2 linked regions of the Lepisosteus oculatus genome follow. The protein of the gene in region 2 interacts with the protein of the main gene of each other region in a biochemical or structural test. Links are inferred from orthologs where the notes say so. Each region holds a gene or a part of one and is shown on either strand. Other genes may lie near its edges.

The links. The genes of interacting proteins can lie anywhere in the genome.
Region 1: the proteins of cul3b (region 2) and dcun1d5 form a complex in vitro, tested with the Homo sapiens proteins (2 studies listed by BioGRID, with this or other methods). The link is inferred for Lepisosteus oculatus from reciprocal best matches to the Homo sapiens genes CUL3 and DCUN1D5.

The regions. Positions count from the first base shown.
Region 1 is NC_090700.1:10,125,564-10,133,631, forward strand, and holds the start of dcun1d5 (DCN1-like protein 5), read right to left. Parts: upstream 3,341-8,068; 5' UTR 3,232-3,340; intron 1,481-3,231; 5' UTR 1,424-1,480; intron 1,035-1,423; 5' UTR 989-1,034; intron 903-988; 5' UTR 865-902; coding exon 794-864; intron 1-793. UniProt on the Homo sapiens protein: Contributes to the neddylation of all cullins by transferring NEDD8 from N-terminally acetylated NEDD8-conjugating E2s enzyme to different cullin C-terminal domain-RBX complexes which is necessary for the activation of cullin-RING E3 ubiquitin ligases (CRLs).
Region 2 is NC_090708.1:6,825,608-6,833,650, reverse strand, and holds the start of cul3b (cullin-3b), read right to left. Parts: upstream 3,145-8,043; 5' UTR 2,765-3,144; coding exon 2,702-2,764; intron 1-2,701. UniProt on the Homo sapiens protein: Core component of multiple cullin-RING-based BCR (BTB-CUL3-RBX1) E3 ubiquitin-protein ligase complexes which mediate the ubiquitination and subsequent proteasomal degradation of target proteins.

The DNA.
Region 1 (8,068 bases), on a different chromosome or scaffold from region 2:
TTTCTTTTCCCTTTTTGTTTTTTTGCGGAATTCGCTAGCCTCACACCGCCTCTGCCCCCTCAGACGGGGTGTTGGCTTTTACCGGTGTTTGCCACGGCTCCTCACACTCCCACATTGTTACAATAGTGAGGAAAAGTTCCAGGAATGCTTTCTGTGCTAGATCAGAGTGTACAGACACAGTGGTTGGATGGACCTGATCTAAGATAAAAGGATATTAGAGTTCATTGTTACATATTCCACACTGCTGTAAAACAGTTTCCAACAAGGGGGCAGTGGAAAGTATTACACAATCATCAACAAAACAAGAGATGCTGAGATTCGAGGGCATGTTCTTCATCATATAGATTCCCATTTATTGTTTCGAGTGATGATCAGGTGTCAGAGTAATCTGACTAATTCACTGTAAGCATCTGTGTGATCTTCTTCTAAATTACATTCATGTCTGTTAATCTGGAGCCTAAAAGGCTCCACGGCCGAAACGTTTTGTCTCTTTTCGGCATGTTCTTATGTAAAATAAGGTACATCATTTGCTGCTACTAACCAGCCTCATCACAAATATCGCAATGGATTATTTTGAATGAAAATGTAAGAATTGTTTCTGTTTACATATATTAGTCATGTATAAATCACATTTCGCCAGAAAGTGTTTTATATAAAAGTCTTAACATAAAAGTTAAATTGTTGATGGTTTAACAAGTGCTAATTACTAAAATGAACATATAGTAATCTTTATCATGTTCCGTTAAGGATAACTGTCCCATCCAAAACGGAAACCAGACAATGGAAATCTTACCTAGTTATTTTGCATTTTCTTAGACCAGAATCATCAGGACCTGAAGACTTTCTCTTCTTTTTCACTGGCATTATGGAATGAGTGGACGTTCTGCTTATCTGACTCTGTCCTGGTAAAAAAAATAAATACATTTATGAGTGCAAATGTAGGACTGATTTGTGCAAATGATGGAAAGCTTAGCAAATTAAGAGGTACCTATGTATTTTTGGTCACCTTGTCCATTCAAATCTTCTAATAAATTCTATGAGACATGAAATAAGAACATTAGTACATAACCTGTTACCTGGTTACAAATAGTTCTGAAGAGTAAAGTAGTATCAAAATAAAGATCGTCAGTTCTAAAGCCTCAAAAGCATTCTTACCACGATGGTTGACTTTCATTTATAGAACTTTTCCATATATTTTCTCTTAGAGAAAACATACCCCAACACCACATGCACACAGCGAACACGAAAGAGTGACGGATGAAAATAAGTACAATAAGGTCAGACTCCAATAGTGTTTTCCATTAAAGACTGAAGTTCCGGTTCCCTCATTTACAGATACAATGACACCAACAGAATGCCCTGTTGTGGCTATTCAAAAAACCTTTGCTTTCTGTAGCTCTGACAACCAAGATAAAATACATACAAGCCTGTCGAGTGTTTGAGATACGTGCTGAATGTCAGCCAGTACGCACAGTTTCTTCTGAAACACAAAGCAAAAAAGAAAGATGGTTAGAGCAAGCACTGGCTTAGAAGGCCCTAAACATCCGAGTAGAGAAAATAACTAGATTGAGCTAAAATGGACATACGACCAAGACGACATTCGTGCATTTCTGTGGCCCCTTTAAAACCAAAGCATCCCAAATCACTCTACATATATAAGATGACCAACTTGATCTTCCACTGGAGTGAAGCACCCATTTACAGTACCTGGGTGACATGCAGACAGCCAGTATAAACCAGCAGCCCCACTCCAAAGCAGATCAGGAGGACAAGTGAGAAACTGCCTCACCAGTTAATTAGTAATTTTAGGGAGCCCAAGACTGTGCAAGACAAAAGCAGAATTTAGACACTACACTGGGTTAACAACCCTACGCTTGTAACAGTTTTTCTTTGCCGACTGTGAAATTAAGATCATAATGTTAACAGTTCAACCTTTTTAAAAAAATCAGATTTTCCCTTTCGTTGAAGCTCTCCATAAAGATGCTTTAGTCTCAAGAACAAAATAATCATTCAATCTCTTTGAACCCCCAAACCACATCAATCTACACGTCAAGACGTTTCCGCACCCCTCCCCCCCAAAGAAATCAGACTATTGTACAAGTGAGTAATTCCTTGTAATAGTAATTATATTTAAATAGTCATGGAAGATTAAAGTGAACAGGTCAGGACCACGACACTACGTCGTCGTGTTTAAAGTTTGCGCAACGAACAGGGAAATGTAATGTATATTTTAAGTCTAACTCATATGGCAAAGATTCTTACACTAAATGAAAGAACATACGACATGGACAACTGTGTTGTAAAAATATTACTCTTTTTTCCCCAAGACACCCAAGTCTGGGACACTGGCGATATCGTAGATCTTGCTGCACGACGAAACGTTATGCATTTGAACCAAAACTAACATTTTCATGTAAAGACCCATATTAACTTCCCACGCATAAGCAGTAAAATAAGACAAGTTGGCAAGGCAGATGTACGCAATAACATTTCTATTAAGAAAGGTATAGTCTTTTCTCGAATATTTATTTGAGCCTGAAAACTAACTGCGTCACCACTTCATGGTGAGAAACGTATTGCTGCAAAATCCAACAACTTAACCGAGCTACCTATAGGTCCAAATACATTTGCACATTTTGGCGTGAAGAAAACGATCGGGCATTTCGTCTTGCCCGTGCTTCACAATTTATCAGAGAAGACCCAGTCAGAAAAATAATATCCACCAGTCGTTGCAGTCTGTCGAGGTATTTCACGGTAATTCGTTACTGCGTTTATACGGGCTGACGTACCATAATCAACAAGACATTCATTTTCAAGCAACAAAAATATACAGGCCTGCACTGTAGCGAAACAAAATCGGATAACCTATCCTTTTTTAGCCAAACAACGAAATCATAACTGAAAATATCCCACCGCAAAAGAAGGACTGTAATTAGTTTTGTTTCTTCACCGTCGTGCTGTACAGTACTTGTATCTTTAACCGTTAAACCGATCCCCGCAAGGTCTTAATCGGCAGTTCATAGTTTTTCTTACAAGGTTGTAACGTTCTCAGTAAGATCTGTCCCAGCATTTTCCAGGCTATATTTAGTCTAGACTTAGCTACCACTAGCAGCAGAAGAAAAAAGGACTGGACTTATTGAGCAAATACCGTCGTTAGTTTCCGTACAATCCGACAAGTTTTGCACTCACTGTTGAGCTAAGTAAAAACCTGAGACATTTTATTGTACAAACCAGTTAATTCCGACACTTTGTTTTCTTTTTGCCCGCACAGCAACCGAACTCTCCATCCACCAGCACAGAAATGAGTAACACTTTCTCACACCGGCACTGCAAACTCCTTCCTTCCGGGGCAACAGCAACCCTCTGAGGTCACAGCATTTTGCACATTTAAAGGGGGAGGTCAGTTAATTTGTAACATATACAAACACAGGTAATACAACCAAATCAAGTATTTAAAATCTGTTTGCTTTTATATAGATGGGGAAATGTAAAAAAAATTAAATCTTTATTTTGTGGCAGAATTCATTAGTTCGCTTTATGTGATAGATGCATTTTGCCCCCCTCGGCATTCTTGAAACTAGTTGGTCCCGTTTATGCAAGTGCACTGGTTTGTGGAAATGTGAAAAAAAAATACTGCATAAAATAAAAAAAAATAGATTAACAGGCATTTATAAAATGCAAAGTGTGTTACAAGCTATAATCTTGCAGCTCCCCTCAAAACTATATAAATGCGTGAGATTAATTATAAGTGAATTTACAGCACTAAGTACCATTAGATCTTAATCCGGTGTATAGGCTAAAAATGTTCCCCATACTTTCGTGTTTTCAACAGGAATAAAATCTTTGGTATTCATATCATTATAGTGACAGTTTTAATCATCAGAATAAGATCTAATGTTGGTTATAAAGAAGAAGTAGAAGACAAGGTACATGAAGAGTAACAAAATCTTTAAAATAAAGTCAGGTGTTATATAAACAATTGATAGGTGCACAATTTCAGTGCCATAAATTAGTTGCGTTAGTGTTTATATGCACATAAATAATTTGCATTAGGCTGGAGGTTAATTCTGCTGTGAATAGAACCATATTTCACAGTTATTTTAGAGGTCTCATCCATAAATGAATGTAAACAAGTAAAATATTGGGTGAGTCTAACCTAATCATATTTTCCCGTCATGAAAAAAAATGTATCAAATGCTTCTATAGAAATGACTCTTTAGAATGTAAAAAAAAAACTGAAGCACTATTACTACATCTTTTTACAAAAACAGAAAAGTCAAAACTGGAGAAAAGCTTATGTTAGGAGAATTATAGGAGTGTGCCTTCCTTCTAATCTTATATAGGGAAGATTGAGATATACTGTAAGAGATGTAAGAGGATCTAGAAAGATACAAATTCACCAAAATAATTGCAGCAAGCAATTCAACAGCCTCTTTACCGTTTATTTTGCAAGAAAATAAATTATACAACTTAAAAAATAAATTCAGAAATAATGCATTACATCAAAATAGTTCAGCCAGACAGCCATACATAAACGATTATCATTCAAAAAATTGTACAGCATTTTAACCTTATGTAGTGGCACACATTCAACTGGTATATGTAACATAAAACCTAGGAATTCAAGTTTGCTTTGCATTCCAGGCTACAAATAGTGTATATACTACAGAACAAACAAAATCATACTCTATAAATGGATCACAGGTTAATTGTAACTTTTACAGACAAAATTCACCCATTACATAAAAAATGTAAAATGTTTGTAATTATCATACTTGTGAGGATAATAAAAACAGACACTACAATTTTAATTTAAGGAATTTGTACCTAAGAACTGTCAATTCATCTATTAACACTTATATAGTCCATCAAGTTTCTCCTATCAAGTCTAACCTCAAAGTGAAGTTAAACTAAGAAAAAATGCTTTCAGGAAAAAAAAAATCATTTTCCACTTTCACATTTTCACAGAGATAAAAAGCAATTATAACATTCAGATTTTTAGCACATTTGTATATTTCATGTTATTTAAAGATTATTAAAAAAAACTGAATTTAGATCAAAATCTCATCTCAAAGTAAGAGTAAAGGCCAAGGATTTTCATAAATGTTTACATTTTATTCATAAAAAAAATCACTGTCAAATCATTGTAGTGAAGGTAGAATGAACCGCTATCATCCAGTGGAATAACTGGGGAAAAAAAAACCTGTTTGGAGTATCCCCTCAGGAGCAATAAATCTTGCATGGGATAGAGTTTAATGTCAACATTAAAACTAAAAAGTGGAAGACATCACACTACATTAGGAATATCAATTCAAAAGATTTCACCAAAAGTGTAGCAGGCAGTTCTGATCTCTTTAGTTAGTGTAAACTACAATGCCACACTGAATATTTATCAGAACCTCAAACAAGACATACAAGGGCAGAGTGCTTGTATCGGGCTTTTAAAGATTCATGTATCCTTTTAGTAAGTTCAAGAAACCCCACAGCAGCAAAACTCAGAACTACACAGGTATAAATCATGTACAGGAAAATGTTCTGAAACAAAATGTTCAGATGTATTTAAAAGAGGATAATTGAAACCCAGACATCCTTATTACCATGCTGGTGCATGTATAGTAGTTGTAAAACTATTCAACAATCCAAATGCTTTTATTTTCACTAAACCCACAGCCGTCAAAGAAACCGAGGAATCTTTTTTTATTAAGATAATGGGGAATACATTATTTGACAAATAAGGCTACTGCATATAAATCAAATGGTGATATGAAAGACATTCATACACCTATAATTTTACACTTCCATATTTTTCAATACCCATCTCTTGTTCAAAAATATTTTAAAAGCTCTAGGTATCGATAAAAATATATGATACAGTCCAGACATTCCCTGGATCAAAAGCTAGGATTTGTGATCGTTCTTTTGCAGGATTAAGTACAGTAATTCAGGTATTTCTCAGAAAATGTGATTTAAGAATACTATAAACTGCACACTGTTAAGATATGTTCTGTGTGAAACAAACTGCAAACTGAATAATGTTATAATAGAACAGAATGGTCTTATGGCATTATACCTTGCATAGATACCAATAGAAAACCAATCTGTTTTGTCACAGAATGAGGACAGTGTTATACGTTTTGATATAACTAGAGTTAATTAATAGCAAAAATATTCTAAAACTATTGCTATTGTGCCCCCCTTTTATGCCTGTATTTCTAGAAATATAAAAGGGTGAACTGTGCATCCATAAGTAGTTTTTACAGGCAGTCAAGAACTCCCTCCTTAATGGTTCATCAATCACGAACACAAGCAAAACACAATTCTAGGACAATAATGTAACACTATGTTTCAGGCAATGCGCAATACAACACTTTTCTTTACAGTAGACCACTAGTGAAATTTAAAACAGGAAAAAAAACTGACAGCAAAACAGCATGCTTTAGTGTTAAATATAAATTGAAGAGATTCACCCCTTTAAGTTTTTGCTCGAATTAAATATGCTTTTGTTACAATTTTTTGTTCCTCTATACTTTATGCATGTACAGTATATCTTATACTGGAAAACAAGGTGCAGAGAACGTGTTGAGAGAAATCCTGGAACAAAAACGTCTTTGAACAGCTCCCCACTGTGAAAATGAACAAAACCATTCATGTACGTAAAAGGTAATGAAATTCCCTAGCTACTACTTAAATATTATGGACATCGTTATAAATGGAGCAATGACAATATCCATAGAGAACAGATCCACCCTGCCACAAAAGCTGTCACAATTTCAGATGTTAGAAACCAATGGAAGTAAAAAGGGATCAAGCGTAAAAAAATACATTGTATCGTTATTGATCTTCAGAAATAGTTTAATTTAATTGTCTAAAAGCCCAATACATTGAATGCAGAGTAAAATATATACATATATAACAAAAAAAAAACTCTAAGCACCATATTAATGGCTAATGTGAACACAAAAAATAAAAGTAACAAACACAAAATATAGAAGAATTTGTATTATCATACTAAACAATCACCACTCTTCCTTAATTCATAGTCGATTCTTATATGAGGCAGACAGACGTTTTTGTCTAGGCTGAAGAAAACATCACTGGTTACTAGGAACATTTGACAAAACCAGCTGAAAAGCCAGAATGAGAGGTGACTGATGCTCACTACCCTGCCATTCTGCTGACAACAGTCTGCTAGCAACACACAGCCACCAATCCTCGACATTACCTCCTTTCAACAGGAACTCTTTACAAGAGAGAAAACGGATTGGCTGTATTCTCTGGATGCAAAATCAAACGGAATACCTAGGAAATCGTCTGCTCTACCAGGAACACCCGTTATCTTAACGAAAACCAGATTCTGAAGGAAAACAAACTTTTAACCAAATTGTTAATTGGGTTCTAAAGTAAAAGAAGCATTCAAGGGGGCTTTTTGACAAATTGGTAGTGACAAAACCAGTGCAAACCTGAAAGTCTTTGTGAGCACTTACAAACCCCACATACTGCAGATGTTCAGAGGTTGCAAGTACCCGAGTTTCATGGACAGGCTGCGATAATTATTAAAATAAGATGGTATCGCGTGTCAAGACAAACAGGGATGTGACTTCATTTTTTAAGAACATAGGATTTCTAATCTAACGGCTGTAAAGTCTAAAAATGATCTGGAGAACATAGTGTGCAGCATGACAAGGTCTACACAAGAGTAAGCAATCCTGTACACATTGTTGTCCATCGAGTTGTAGGATTACCTCAAAAAACACTTTTATGCCACTCATGTAAAAACATTGTACGGCTTCATTTACTGTGACAATACCTGTACATTCTGAAGTCTAACCCTTGATGGTTTACTGCAAGCAAATACCATGCTTCAGAGATCAAGGTTACAGATCTTTTCTACAGGTTATTTTAAAGTACAATTATAAAACTGAAAGAAAATATTAAAATGAGCAGTGAAACCTTGATTTTTCTTTGATTTAAAAGAAGTCAAGTCACACGTTTTAGTCATCCGTATTTCAAACCTTTTCTGTGGGCTTTATCAGCAGATTATGCACCCCAAAATAATTTTCCATGAATG
Region 2 (8,043 bases):
ATTTTTTGTTGCAAATGAACTAAATTATATAAGGATTATAAATGATTTGGCAATGGTATAGTGACATGTAAAGATGTAAACAATCTCTCCCTTTAATTCACTTCCAATCCTTTTCTCTTTCAATTTCAGCTTCACTGAATTCTTTTCAAAACATTCTAAATGGTATAAACCAGAGGTTTCAAACAAACAGGCCTGGAGAGTCATATTTCTACAGGTTTTACAGACCTCTTTAAATAAGCAGCCCCTGTAGAGCAGGGACATTTTGTTGAACTGCACAAATCAAGCCTAAAGCTAGTTAAACTTGACCATTAACGGTTGCGCAGGAATGAACACCTGCAGGACTGCAGACCTCCAAAACTGGGTTTGGGAAAACCTAGTTTAAATGACAGAACACCAATCGGTAATTTATATGTCACATCTTGATTTTAAAATGCTTCCTTTAAAATACAATTAGAACACAGAGGTATTATGTATTGATAATTTATCACAGGCTTTGATCAATATGAAATCAGACACTGCAGTCATCGGTTCCCTTGACAGGTTAACACTGGAATTATGCTGTATGAACTGTCATCTAGTCATCTATTAGAACCATATTCAATTAAAAGCCTAGAAAAATTATTCTGTGGCAATAATTCTATGATAAATGACTGAAAATCATTTCATTCTGCATGTGTGTTCCCAATACTCTGTAGGAGTACAGCACTCATTTTACACTACAGCATAAGAGAGTACAAGAGGAACATATGGCAACTACAACCATAGGACATTATGGTACCGGTGTTACGAAGAAACTATGGACCATCCTTACACTGGTCAGCATAAACGTAGCTCACCAAGACTAGGTGTATGGAAAGAGAATAATGGAGTGGGTGTTGCATTTTACTACCACTTGAAAACATTTCAAGTGTCAGATGATGTGAGCAGGCCTGATTCACTGACATTTCGACTAAGATGATGTGTTGCCCTAAATAACTGTGTTGACTGAAACAGCACAGATCAGACACCCTTGGGATGGGAACTGGCAAGACTGTGATACCTCCTATTAGGTTTTTCTCATCCAGGAATGGACTAGGATACCCCCTGCCAAGATCACTTAAAATGCAACCTGTGATACCCACTGGTAAATATCTACACAGCAGATATCGGAGGACTAATCCTTCCACTTCCAAGGCAATTCTGCGTGAAGCCAACTCACTGCTGGACAACTGCTTTGACATTTAGTTTTCAGTACATCTTAAGCAGTTACAAGCAATTACAGTCAGGTATAATGTATCAACATAGCTTCAACCCCCTGATATGTTGTATTTTTTAATAAGCACCTTAAGATGTTAAGACTAATAATTTTTACATAATTTTCAGCCTTGATCTACAAAAGAGAGGTCAAAAGTATGAGATTAAAACAGTTAATTATAGACAGAAACAGCAAGATGTTTCTGCAAAAAGTGAAATGCAGGACCACCTAGTATCTGTTTTAAAACAATTTGCCACTGAAGTATTTTTTTTAAAGGAGCAGGCAATGAGCAATTCAGCAAATCACTGATTAGCAAGGAAAACAACTTACAAGGGCTGCACACGAATCAGGACATGACTTATGAACTGCAGTTACAGGCCAGTCCTTACACTTGCTTATCATATGGGCTTTCCTGAGGTATAAAGACAACTTTGGCATGCTAGGATCATCAAATAACTACATGTCCCTAACCCAACGAAAAGAGGGTCTCCTGAAGGAAGACATGTTAGAGACAATATCTGATGACAGATTTCCAGTGTTTTTCTAGAGTCCACAAAACGATCGAGCTTCCCAAAACTAACGACATCATTTCACACCTTGATTTACATACATGACATCAAGGCATCTTTTCACCTTACTATTGCTTTACTAACACCATTAGTAGTGACTCATTTTATGAAACATGACTCTCCTGACCACCTAGATTTTTATGAGATTATCGTTCATTTCTTTTAATTCGACGTATACGCCATGAAATATCCTTATTTTAGTTGTTCTTTTAACAATGCGAGTCATTACGACGTTTGACAACGCTTATGCATTCAAACCTCAGTATTAAACAATTTTATCGGACAGTCAGGCCTACACACTGCTGTGAAACTAATTTACTCACTGCGACAACCATGTCGCGGAACATGTTCTTGTTTTGGCAACTGTACTGACTTCACAGAGCGGATGATTTAGTACTTTTTGTTACGTTCCGGGTGTGAAGTTCACCTTGCTAAACATGCAATTAGTTCTGCTAACTTACCTGAAATCAGAAAGAGAAACAACCTCATTTTTGTTGTCGTAAGGCTTAATGCTGTGGCTATGAAATAGCTATATGCCATCACGATCTATAATGAAAATAAAACTTCCTGAACTACTGAAATGTTAGCTACCATTTCCCCCCTGCCGATTTGCTCACTGACCTATTAATGTGTCAAAAATGAAGGCCTCACTAACAACAAAGATTTAACGTCGGACTGTAAATTCACTCCTCTGTTCCCAGACATTACTTTTTACTTAAGAGGGGGAAAAAGGCATTTCAAGATCGTGTACACGAGCAAGGTTTCAGTAGCTCGCGTATTTTCAAAGCCTTTGTTTACTAACTGGGAGGCCTGATTTTCGCCATTCCCTGACCGAATCCCCGGCGCTCGAGTCTCCTCGCCCGCCCGCTTAGGTGCCCCGTCCCCGGCTACTACTCACAGGAAAGGCTCGTATCCTCATCTTGGTGTCCTTCTTGGTGCCGCCTTTGCTTAGATTGGACATGTTTGGATCGCGTCTGTTTCTTTATTTACATTAAAGACTACGTGGGCAGCTGCGGGAAAATGTGCCGACGGGAATGCCGTTTAGCCCCCTCGACCTCTCCGGCGTGTCTACGTCCCTCTTTCTGGGCTGGTATTGTCACTCCGCCGCCGCCGCCACTCCAAGTGCTCGGCTCTTTCTGCACAGTGATGGCGGACAAACAGCTCTCAGTGCGCAGGGCTACCCCACACCGAAACTCGCGCGAGATAAAGGTAGAGGGGAAAAAAATCTGCGGGAGACAAAAACACACCATTAAAGCCATGCGCTGCGTCGATGCAGCATATTAACCTTTAACGTGAGTTTCACGCCTCCGGGTGTCTGCCGTAGGAAAGGTGAACCGTGAGGCGAGGAACGCGATCTTAGAGGCGCACGCACAGTAAAGGGAAGCTAGTTAAGAAAATAAAAGTTGGGGGGGAACCTGATGTCACGGTTGAGTGTTTCAGAATATGATGATCCGCAAAGAAAAGGCAGGAGAATATAATAACGGGCACACTTTTGTACTCACTCTCATACGGTGGCACTTAACATGTTTGTTACCAATGTTTTGTCAACAAACTTCTTGGGGCCAGAAATGCGACGTACATTCAGATTCCGTTCCTATTCATGTAGTTGTACATGAATAATAATAATAATAATAATAATAATAATAATAATAATTGCTTACACTTATATTGCACTTTTCTGGACACTCCACTCAAAGCGCTTTACAGGTAAAGGGGACTCCCCTCCATCACCACCAATGTGCAGCATCCACCTGGATGAAGTCAACGCCTTGACATTAAAAATATTACACACAACTGCAGTCCTGTTACCTATATGCCATCTCTTGCCAAAATTCTTGAATTGGTCAATCAATAGCTCAGATGCCTGTGTTATGATCTGTTTGAAGCTTCTCTGAGTCTGAGTCTGAGTTTGGAGAGAGACTTGTTATGGTGGGTATTGACTTGATGGTTTCAGTCTCTAGGTCACTTAATTTTCTTTTTTATTCTGGTCCCAAGTGCAGTTTTGTCTGTCAGTTACACTATGGCACTCTACAAGAGCATATGGCCCAAAAATTCCCATTGGCCCTTACCAATCATGGCCTCCTAATAATCCCCCTCTATGAATTGGCTTCATTACTCTGCTCTCCTCCCCACTGATAACTGGTGTGTGGTGAGCATTCTGGCGCACTATGGCTGCCGTCGCATCATCAAGGTGGATGCTGCACATTGGTGGTGGTGGAGGGGAGTCCCCATTACCTGTAAAGCTCTTTGAGTGGAGTGTCCACAAAAGTGCTATATAAGTGTAAGCAATTGTTAACTAATTATAATTATTATATGGAAAAGTTTGTAGGGATTAGGGATTCATTGCTTCGGCTGCTATTTGTTTAAAATTCATATGGCTATTGGCTATTTCAAATATAATGTTATCACAGATATTCTAGGAGGTCCATGTAGTTCTCTGCTAGGACAATTACTATTTAGTGTATACATTTATGGTTAGACTGTTCCTCACCGTGGTGTTGATTTCACTGTTATGTTCATGACACCGAGAGTAACATGCTATAATTAATAAGACACAGCTGACATGGATGCAACAGAAACTGTGAAAGCTAAACTTGCCTTTTGGCTACTGACAACAGCTGTGCAGAATTGGTGATTTCAGTGTTGTTCTTAAAGGTGCAGAATTTAAACCTTTGACTAAAGAAACCTTGGTGTTAATTTATGATCTTGTATTGACATTTGACAACACAAAATGAATCTTATTGTAATCTATACAACATTGCCCAGTTAAGATCCTTACTCCATCTGATTTTGAAAAATTGATAATTACCTTTATTTAATAGATATTTAATACATATTAGATTGTTGTAAAACTTGTTATATCTGCTAAGGTACTAAATAAACATCAGTATGTTGAGATTTCTGTGGTGTGTTCTCTAACTAAAACTGCTCTGCTTCAACATTTAACCCTTTTAAGAGAAGCCTTTAAAGTTCTCCTGCTTACAGATAAGGAACTGAATGGCCTAGATCCAGGTTACTTTAGAATGTTTTGCATGAGTGTAGTTCAACATTTCATCTGAAATCTATAAAATAAGGTCATCTTCTTCTACCTATGAACAGGTGTCACACAGAGGATGATAACGCGTTCTTTCATGGAGCATCACAACTCTGGCATTCATTCTCACAGAGTCTATGACTGTGGATATTCCAAAGAATCCTTGAAAGGTTTTTTTCTTTATATTTTCTTCTTAGAGTGCACCGTTTTATTTTAATCTTGATTTTATTTGGCCAATTTAATCTGTCACGTGTGTTATTTTTGTACAGCTGTGCAGCACTTTGAAAAATGCTTGTTCTTCAAGGAACTATGTAAAATAAAGATGATGATTATTACCCACAAAAAGAAGTGTAAAGAAGATGAATATTACTACTATCATTACTGTGATTGTTAATTTATAGCTAATTGAATAATTCATTATGACCACAAGTGACACCAACACTATCAGTTTCAGAATTAAACCAATCTGTGCTTTTACAGGTTTTGTTTAAGGATTTGTTTTGTAGTATAAAGGTTCTGTCAATAATTCCTCATTTCATTTTAAGCATGACTAAGTGCCTGCTCAAACCAGTGTCCAATTTTCAATCATGTGTGGCAGTCGTAGGTGCACAGCTGTCCTTTAGAATTAGCTTCAGAGCAAATAGTCTTGTTCCACTTGTATGCATTATCCATCTGGTCAACAGAACTGTCTTTTTTCCCTCAATTTAAAAACAGAATGCATTGCTGAAAATTCAGTGTTCCACTTCAAACAATGGCAAGTCCAAATACTGGAAAGTTGAGATTAAGTTTTTTTTACCAAAGAAAACATGAATAATGTTGAGCTCATGCCTTGATTAACTTCTAAATGAAGGGCTGTATGTTCTAGTCGACAATGTACAGTGTTTCACACATGTACAAACTAGGTTGTAAAACTTATTTAAAGGACAGTTAAGTTTTTGCCAAGGCCCTGTTCAAATGACCTTCAGGATCAGCTTACACTCCTTGATATTTCCTCATGGGAAACCTGGAGGACTTTTCTTCCTCGCAGCTGGATGAGGTTTAGGCAAGTGAATCGACATGTTCAATGATACGGCATGAAGGTCAATTTGAATATCTCCTGTAATTAGAATTCCTTAGCAGATGTCTCGTTTTAAATTGCTTTCGGCTCCAGTTAAGTCATTCAACTGCTCCCCAGAAGTATACAGAACAACAGCATTTTTAAAAATGTATTAATACAAACCAATTTTTGGGGAAAGAAGGTGTATCTGTGGCAATTCTTATACATTTAGCTCTATACTAAAACATCAGGCTCCATGGTGTTCAGCTTTTTTCCACAACCTTTTATTTAATTTGCATATCAATACACAAAGTAATATGTAATCCTCTAGATGTATAGATGCATTTGTGCATTGATCAGAAAATGGTCAAATGCAAACAGATCATTCCGATATTAAAGAAAGAGCAATGACTTGCAAACGGTTGTTGCTGTAAGTGGCAGTTGTGGACCAGTAGGTGGCACTCTTTCCTCTGGACTAAACATCTTTCCAAACTAATGTGGTACACGTACTGTACTAGGAAACCTGTGCTATAGAAGTTGACATCATTCATCTGAGATACAGTTTAACCACTGTCCCGATAACACATTTAACACACCATGCTACCGACCGCAAATGTATAGGTGATAACTCTGCAGTATACGATCAAATTCCACAGTCGGACTTCCCCCTTCATTCAATTGATGATACAGCTTCTTATTTTTTCTACTTCATCAGGTGTGTGGTTGTGCTTCTGGTGCCTGGTGCAGAATAACCTCTGCAGGTCACCCACACTTTTGAAATTATTTTGTTGTATTTTCGAATTTGGTCTAGAAATGATTGTTTATAAAACGTAAGGGACGAATACTTTTTTTTTTTGTCTGTGGAATTCTGAAGCGGAATTGCCAAGATCGTCTCTTCCAGGTTAGGAGATGCAATAAAGTTTTGCGACGCCAGAGGGAGATGTTTACCAGTCGATTGTTTATGCAAATACTTGTAGTGTTAGTGGTAGTCAGTAACAGTAGTAGTAGACAATTTACAGTCTTTAATTTTTTGTATTTTCTGAGATACATCAAACCTTTACAGATCTGACAGCTCTTGCCTGTCTGTGTAATATCGGAGGTGGGAAGCATATTACAGAGAATTATCTCAAGAACCAAGAGCTTTGCTTCTCCAGGAGTGGAACTGGATAATCCAGGTACTCATCATCCATACACGGCCTCCGTCAACGAGGCAGCACTGGATCCTGTGATGTAGCTGCCGTGTATAGGAATCCCTAAGATCAAATGCAGCGTGAAACCGACCACAGGGTGCAAAGCCTCGATCAGATTCAAGCACGTCATTCTAAGCCAATTGAACAAACACCCCCTGTCCCCACCCCGCGCCTACAAACAACCGCAACTGGAGTGCTAAAGTTTTTATCTCTTCCAGGCCTTCATTTTGCTTTCTTACACACCTGCTGCAAAAATGGGAAGGAAACATGGCCCATTAAAGAATTACTAAAAAAAGAAACCGAGTTATTATTCAATAGTAAATCTATGATTAACACTGCAGATGGACGTCCGTATCTACGATATGACTGTAGAGAGCAGTTTTGCAGAATTTGGGCAGATGGAAGAAAGACAGGAGAGACCCTTCCTCCGAGGTCTGTTGCGTTTGAGCTTTGCAATACCCACAGCTTGATTTAATGACTTTGGAAAGATTTCTAAGAGACTGGTTGTACAGTACGTTGATTCGTGTACAGTCAGCTCTCATGACAGTGATAGACCATGAGTCTATATTTTGTCTAAGAACCTCTTAACGATGGGAGTCCTGTTTCAGACCAAGGAATTGCAAATGATCAATGTGAATTCAGAATTCAGGAGCACGTCGTTACTATAACACTTGCAATTTACAGGTAGTCTTAAGCAGTTCAAGAAGCGATGAAAGTGTCACCATCATCGTTAGTTGCCAAAACTTATTGTTCGTTATTAAATACACGGGATTTTATTAACAGACTGTGCGAAAAAGAAATTTACTAGAGCATTCCAGTCTAGATTAAGGCAGCGCTTTAAAGAAAGAAAGACGCAAAGAAAGAACAGCTATTTAAAACATGGCACCTACCCGTTTTAAAAAAAGCCCCTAGAGTTATCTTCACCTTGGGTCACGCATTCAAATTATTTCAGCACCTCGGCTAAGTGGACAGCGTACGTA